Linked DNA regions of Cricetulus griseus. The protein of the gene in region 2 purifies or fractionates together with the protein of the main gene of each other region. This does not show direct contact. Links are inferred from orthologs where the notes say so. Each region holds a gene or a part of one and is shown on either strand. Other genes may lie near its edges.

Evidence for each region. Proteins that work in one complex are often made in the same cells at the same time.
Region 1: the proteins of Lgals3bp (region 2) and Spryd3 purify together in Homo sapiens (co-immunoprecipitation; 3 studies listed by BioGRID and IntAct, counting the BioPlex papers as one, with this or other methods). This does not show direct contact. The link is inferred for Cricetulus griseus from reciprocal best matches to the Homo sapiens genes LGALS3BP and SPRYD3.

What each region holds. Positions count from the first base shown.
Region 1 is NC_048595.1:398,533,791-398,538,128, reverse strand, and holds the start of Spryd3 (SPRY domain-containing protein 3), read left to right. Parts: upstream 1-1,503; 5' UTR 1,504-1,630; coding exon 1,631-1,653; intron 1,654-1,700; exon of another isoform or gene 1,701-1,836; intron 1,837-3,898; coding exon 3,899-4,045; intron 4,046-4,338.
Region 2 is NC_048600.1:130,937,467-130,941,112, reverse strand, and holds part of Lgals3bp (galectin-3-binding protein), read left to right. Parts: intron 1-2,930; coding exon 2,931-3,646.

The DNA.
Region 1 (4,338 bases), on a different chromosome or scaffold from region 2:
TCAGCAGGCTCAAGAACTTATCAATCCTAGAAAGGGTGCAACACCCTCAGTTGGACCCCACAATGAGGAGGACATTTAACACTGTGATGACAATGGTCCCCACCCCACTGGCCACCCTGTGTGTGTGCCTCAAAGGACAACAGAGAAATCCTGACTGTCTCTGGGACTTCAGCTCACTCAGCTCATGTCCACTGCTGATGAAACCTACTTAGATTACCGTCTGCCCGTCAATTCACCCATAACCAGTCCTGTATTTTGCCTCTGATGCTGGACTCAGCCCTGTGACCTGCTGCTTGGCTCTGAAGCAGCAGCTGTGGCTGCCTTCCAGGCTGCATCTCTAGCAGCTCTCTAGCTGGATTTGTTCTCTGGTTGCAGTAACTTTGCCTTAACCTATTGGCTCTGTCTCTGTAAGGCCTCTGAACTCTTGAATTATGCTGTGGTTTCTTTAACCCCTTTGTAGCCACAGTATAAACTACATATGTATACACATGAAGTGTAATGTGTGACCCAAGAGTTAGTGATTAATATTGAAGTAAAAGAACCTGTGCTTGCTAAAAGCCAGTTGTTCATGTAAATCAGGACTCATTAGCTAATTGTGGCCAAGGAGACCCAGATAGCTTGTTAATTTATTGTTACTCAATAAATTCAGATGTGGAAAGACACAAATATGTTTGTTCATGTTTCTGACACAGGGTACTCAAGACAGGGTGAGTCTATCTGGAAAGAATATTCAGTCTTGGGACAAGACATGTAAGTCACCAGGTGGTGGTGGCGCACGCCTTTAGTCCCAGCACTCGGGAGGCAGAGGCAGGTGGATCTCTGTAAGTTCGAGACCAGACAAGAGTTAGTTCCAAGACAGCCTCCAAAGCCACAGAGAAACCCTGTCTCGAAAAACAAACAAAACAAAACAAAAGACATGGAAGTCACGCCCAATTTTTCCCAAGGGCAGGATATTCTGACCTGACCTAACTTTCCCACCAAGCACTCTGTTCCCAAACAGCACTGGGTATCATCTCACTGTGCTTTTTGCAACTGAAGTTCTCTCCTGTTCTGGAACGTCCTTCCTGGAATGAACGAATGTGATGCAAAGTGGTGCTCTGGAAAGAAGAAAACACAAGGAATCAGCTGAGTGCGACCGCTGTGGAGCTCAGCCTCTGGTTCCTCACGCGTAAAAAGGAGATAATTTTAAGATCCCCCTCCCCCCCCCAGGCTGTTACGTGGATCAAAAGGACATTCCAGTAAGGCTTTTAGCATCACTCCTTGCTCTACTACTGTGATGCTTGCGCGTGCACAGTGACCCGCTCCGCCCCAAGGGAGCCGCCCCTTGACCGCCTCCCCGAGCTCCTGGCGCCCACGGTGGCGTCCGTGCCGCCACGTCGCCTCCCCCACCCTCCCGACACCAAGGTTCCTCAGACGCCGGCGAGTGTTAGGTACCCGGCTCACCGGGCCGCGCCCCACACCGCTACTGCCCTGCGATTGGCTGATGTGGGTGCCCATCTGCAAACACCGCTGACGATTGGGCGGATTCGGCGTAGGGGGCGGGCCTCGCGGAGCATAGGAAGGGCGGGGACCCGGATGTGTGTGGTGGCGGCGGCCGAAGAGCTACAGCGCGGAGCTGAGAGGCCTATGGATGAGGAGGACGCGGCGGCCCCGGTAGGCGGGGATCGGGGGCGGGGTCCCGGAGGCCTCGGTCTCTGCAGAGCTCGAGGCGGGGGTCCTGGAAGACGGCTCCCGGCTCAGGGGCGGGGCCTGGGGTTCTGGTCACTAGTGGTCCTCCCGGCGCGCACCCTCCCCTAGTGCGGGGCCTGTGGAGACCGGGCGTAGCCGCATTGACAGGTGAAGGCCCGCTGGCCCCCGGGTCTCATCTGAGTGACCCGATGGTGCTGAGGCTGCGCGGGGCGGGGGGGAGGCACCCAGCGCCGATGCTGCTGCTGGTCGGTGCTGAGGCTGCTGGGTTCTCGAAGATCAGGTGTCTTCAAGTCTGGGGCTCCAGCTGCTGCCTGGGTTCAAGTCCTGGCCCAGGGCCCAGGAGGGGAATGCTGGTGCAGTGCCACAGTTGTCTTCCTCTGGAGCATGTGGTGGTCTGTAGCTCCTTCAGAAGAGTCCTGGTGTGCGCACTTGAGTCGAACTCAGCTTAGCCTAGGTTTGCTAAGCACCTGCTGTGTGTGTTGAGGGTGGGGTACTGTGCCAGGTGTTTGGGGACTGGGAAGAAGAAAAGATTGCTTCATCGTTTTCCCACTTTTGGCTCTCTGGAAAATTTTATTCAGTCAGTCATTTGCCTTGAGGGTTGTCTAAATGCCAAAGAGTCCCCATTCCATTCCTTTTCTCCTTTTGGTGTCTGCCGTCTCTTGAACTGCTGTCACAATTACACTTGGAAATGAGAGTTAAGATCTGATAAGCTCTTTTTTCTTTTGTTTGAGACAAGGCCTCACTCTATAGCCTTGGCTGGCCCAGCACACACTATGTAGACCAGGCTGTTCTAGAACTCAGAGATCTATTTGCCTCTGCCTGGAATTAAAAGTGCTAGAAATGATTGCCAGGTGCTGGTGGTACATGACTTTAATCCCAGCACTCAGGAGGCAGGGGGTTTCTGCAAGTTGGCAGCCAGCCTGGTCTACAGAGCGTGTTCCAGGACAGCCAGGGCTAACTCAAAAAAAAAAAAAAAAAGTGCTGGTATTATGGGCAGGAGAGATGGCTTGGTGGTTAAGAACACTGGCTTGCTGGGCATGGTGGCACATGCCTTTCCAGGATCTCTGTGAGTTTGAGGCCACTCTGGTCTACAGAGTGAGTTCCAGGACAGCCAGGACTAAATGGAGACACCTTGTCTCAAAAACAAAACAAAACAAACAAAAAGCACTAGCTTTATGCCTGGTTGTAGTGGTGGTGTGTGCCTTTAATCCCAGAATTTGGGAGACAGAGGCAGGTGGATCTCTGAGTTTGAGGTCAGCCTGGTCTACAAAGTTCCAGGACAGGGAGGGCTACAAAGAGAAACCCTGTTTTGAAATCCCCCTCTCCCTCGCCAGAAAAAGCACTGGCTTCTCTCCCAGAGGATCTAGGATTCAATTCCCAGCACCCACATGGTAGCTCACAGCTGTCTGTAACTACAATTCTAGGAGATATGATGCCCTCTTCTGGTCTCTAAAGGCACCAAACATATACAGTATGCGTAGACATACATGCAGGAAAACACCCATACACATAAAAATAATAAAGAAGTTGAAAGCAAAAACAAAATAATAAAGAAGTTTAAAATTTTCCAGGATTAAAAACTAGTAGCACCATACCCAACAAGATTTGATATATTTTAAAATCATACCATTTCTTGCTTAAAATTCCACAGAGGTTTCTCGATACCCTTGAAATAAAATTTAAACTCCTGACTGGATAGTCTCTTGCCTTATCCTATTCTTATTCACCTTCCATATATAACAGCCACTCTGACCTTCTGTCTTTCTCTACCATGACACCTTTCTTCTACCCAAGGACTGTGCCTTGACTGTTCCTCTGCCTGGAATGATTTTTGTTGTACTCTCATGTTGACTGCCTCTGTACAGCCAACATCCTGTGCCTCTAAGACTGTCCTTGTCCACTGTTACATCTGTTTTTTTTTCTTTTTTTTGCTTCCAATGGCTAAAATGTTCATTTGTGCTTATTATCTGCTATGCTTCCTCATGCCTAATGAGACTGGAGACTCTACAAGATCATGAACCCCATCTGTCTTGCTCATAGCTTTGTTCCTAGCTTCGATGACAGTGCATATCTATTGACTGAGTGGCTGAGGCTGGAGTTATTGAGATGCATCTGGACATCTGGAACACTCTGCACATTCAAGATTGAGCAGGCTTGAGGTACTCTGTGCTGAGCTCCACTTCCTTCTCAGTCATTTCTCTTCTCATAGGTTTGTTCTCATGAACAAGATGGATGACCTCAACTTGCACTACCGGTTTCTGAATTGGAGAAGGAGGATTCGGGAGATTCGAGAGGTTCGGGCTTTCCGATATCAGGAGAGGTTCAAACATATTCTTGTGGATGGTGACACTTTGAGGTGAGTGTAGGGAAATGGTTCCACATTGTCCTTGTCCAGTCCTTTCCTGGTATTAACCAGGACACTGTGTATGCTACACTGTGAAGGGACCCCTGGTGGTCTTTATGTCTTTCTTTCTGCCTCTTATCACTGGGTCACTCAGGTTGCCTTATTTATTTATTTATTTATTTATTTATTTATTTATTTATTTGGTGTGTGTCTTGGGGGATGGTTGTTAAAGAACTACTTGAGGAGGTTGGTCTTCTTAGATCAGGTGGGACCTAGCAATCTGACTCTGGTCATTAAGCAAGTGC
Region 2 (3,646 bases):
GGGTGCATGCTTCTTCACACTGCACACATCTGCCCTGGCAGACAGACGGTGACAAACTCTCCCACCTACCTCAGTGTCACGTGGAGACACACCGCAACACTTGCTGCATGTGCTAATGTGTTAATGTGAGCACACATTAACACCCAGATGCTCCCTGCTCTTACATGGAAGCATTGAACACTCATACATGTGAATACTCACCACCTTTGGGCACACACACACACACACACACACACACTTATGTATCCAGATGCTCCCTGCACCTGTATAAACACGTTCTCATGCATCCAAACCTTACTTTTACATGTGCCTGTTTGTCTACTTATCTTAATCACTGTTCTATTCCTGTAAAGAGACACTATGACCAAGGCTGGTTTTCAAAAAAAAAAAAAAAAAGCATTTAATTGGGGCTTGCTTGCAGCTTCAGAGGTTTAGTTCATCGTCACCTTGGTGGTGGCAGTGGACCTTGGTAGAGCCGTAGCTGAGAGCTTTACCACCTGATCCACAGGCAGAGAGAGACTGGGCCTGTCATGGGCTTTTGAAAGGTCAGAGCCCACCCCCAGTGACACATCTCCAACAAGGTCACACCTCCTAATCCTTCTAATCTTTTCAAACAGTCCCATTGCCTGGTGACTAAGCAATCACATATGTCTGAATGGGGACTATTCAGACCACCAGAGCACTCCTACCATAAAGCACCCCATACACACTGAACTGGTGTGCCCACGTGCACTCCCACCCACATTAAGTGCACACAGATACATGCATTTTCACTATACGACTCTAAATACTCCAAATCCTGTAAGAAGGGTTTGGTATTCTGAGGTTGTGACTTCAGCATGGAGTACTGGCCTGCAGTTTGCCACCTGGGAGCCACCTGGGAGGGCGCATGGAAATAGAGTCCAGGTGGGAACTGGCAGCATGGAATCCTACAGCAAGGCTGGAATGAAGTCCCAGGCTTCCCCTCCCACTCCCTGGGGCCCTTAGAAAGGCATGGACAGTATAGGTAAGATGCACGCATGATCCTCCCCTCTCTATGTCATGTGTCTTAGGTACGATAGAGATACAATGTGAGGTTCCTGTGTGCTTGTTTGTGTGGTCCCCACAGGGTGTATGCAGAGGTCAGAGGACAGCTTTCAGGAGTAGCTTCTCCTGTGGGTTCTGGAGACCAACTCAGGTCATCAGATGTGGTAGCAATTGACTGGCTGCTGAGCCATCTTGCCAACTTCAGCGTAAGAGCCCTCCCTTCCCACATTATCGGTCTTGCTAAGAGAACAGCAGGGAGCCATGACTTTAAAACTGTCTGTGAGGGAAGAGGGAACGCTTGCCCCTCTGAGGAGCCTCTCAGACTACCCCATACTTACAGATGAGAGTAGAGACAGTTAGTGGGGTCCACATCCCTCCCCAGACTCTGCCACGACCCTTCCCTCCATACCTCTCTGCTTAATTGTCAAGATTACACAGGTTCCCCACCCAGGAGGACTCTGAGGTTTGCATTTTGAAAGCAGTGGTTCTTTAAAATAGAACATTTATTAAAAAGTACCCTCTCTCACCCTTATGACACGATTCTTTATATAATGGAATCTGACATTTATAAGAATAATACTGGCAATTAAACCCAGATTAGAACCATTTGCTCCCAGCCTAGTGTGCAAACCTGGCAGGGTTCCTGTGTCCTCCTGGTGAATTCTATGTCTAAGACACAGTGGAGGGTGGAGCAGATGTCATCCCTGCCTTCCTGAACCCCCTGCCCCACCCCCAGCTGTGGCCTCAGGTCTGGGCTCCTGTTATCTCTCTCTTTCTCCCTCTCCCTCCCTCTCTCTTCCTCTTTCATCCCCCCTTTCCCTCTGAGGATGGACACACACACACACACACACACACACACACACACACACACACACACACACACACACACACACACACACGGGTTCAGCCACAGGAGACACAACAGTCCCCTAGACTCCTCCCGCTGTCCCTCGAGCCTAAAAGCTGGCTTTGGGCTTTTCCCCTCTCTCTCTCTGCATATGTGATTTTTACTTGAAAAGGATGGGCAGGGTGGGGAGGCCCACTCTGATTTCTGGAAACTAAGACTGGGCCCTGAGTAAGGGAGCATGGGAGGGGCATGAGGGCAGAGAGGCACTCACAAGAACCCTGGCACTTCCCAGCCTCCCTTGGCACTTAGAGATAGCTGCTAGCAGTCTGAGGGACCACTCTGGTGTGGGATGAGGATTAGAAATTGGTGCCAATCCTTCAAGAGCAGGGAGAGGTTGGTGGTAGCATCCTACTGTCCCGTGCCCTCCCTATGAGGTGATTTTATGCATGGTCTACCACGAGTTGTGTGCACCAGCCCTGAGGAGAGAGTTGCCATCCCAACCTCTGGGGTGCTGTGAAGCCAATGGCAGGAACCCTCAACTCTATTTGAACATTTATGGACCAACAGGGAGGGTGTCACTCTGGACTTGGTGGGCTCAGACCCTCACATGGCTCATAGTCCCAGGGAAGCAGAAATCGGGTGACCAAATCATCGGGTGTCATTATCACCTGACAGAGAGCAGATGCTTGGGGAGAAAGAGGTACCCACAGGAACCCAGCAGGGTCCCATGTCTAGACCTCTGCTGTCCAAGGCTCACAGTGACATCAGAGTGACCAGGAGATGTAGGTGGGAACCCCTCAGGTGAGGGCATTCACAGATGAGGAAGAAAGTGGCTGTGAGTGTCATTGCCAACAACTATCCACCCTGTGGCCCAACACCCAAAAGTTGCTGTCAGTTGGCATGAGAATGGAGGTGAATGCTGCCACTAGTGGCGGCACCCTGGCGTGAGGTCAATGGTGAAGGTGTAGTAGGTAGCTGTGTGGGAAAGCAAGCCAAACAAAAGCCCTGCTGTCTGTCAGGGCAGGCTTCCATTTCCTAACCTCCCTCCCACCCCCAGGTACTTTTACTCCCGAAGAATCGAGGTCACCATGTCTTCTGTTAAGTGCTTGCACAAGCTAGCCTCTGCCTACGGGGCCACACAGCTTCGAGACTATTGCAGCCGGCTGTTCGCCACCCTCCTCCCCGAGGATCCCACTTTCCACACGCCCCTGGAGCTCTATGAGTACGCACAGGCCACCAGGGACTCTGTGCTGGAAGAGCTGTGCGTGCAGTTCCTGGCCTGGAACTTTGAGCCTCTGACACAGGTTGAGGCCTGGCTGAGTGTTCCCACCACCTTGCTCCAGGCTCTCCTCTCCAAGAGTGAGCTGGCTGTGTCTAGTGAGCTGGACTTGCTGAAGGCCGTGGATCAGTGGAGCGCGGAGAGTGGCGCCTCCCATGCTGAGGTGGAGGGCCTGGTGGAACAGGTCCGCTTCCCCATGATGCTGCCCCAGCAGCTGTTTGAGCTGCAGTTCAACCTGTCCTTGTACCAGGGTCACCAGGCACTGTTCCAAAGGAAGACCATGGAGGCCCTGGAGTTCCACACTGTGCCTTTCCCAGTACTGGCCAAGTACAGAGGCCTGAACCTCACGGAGAACACCTACAAGCCCCGGCTTTACACCTCCTCAACCTGGAGCACCTTGGTGACAGACCGTTCCTCAAGGTCACAGGGTGCGCAAGTGTATGGGTACTATTCATATGGCTATGATTCAGTAAGTCGGTACTCCCCCTACCGGT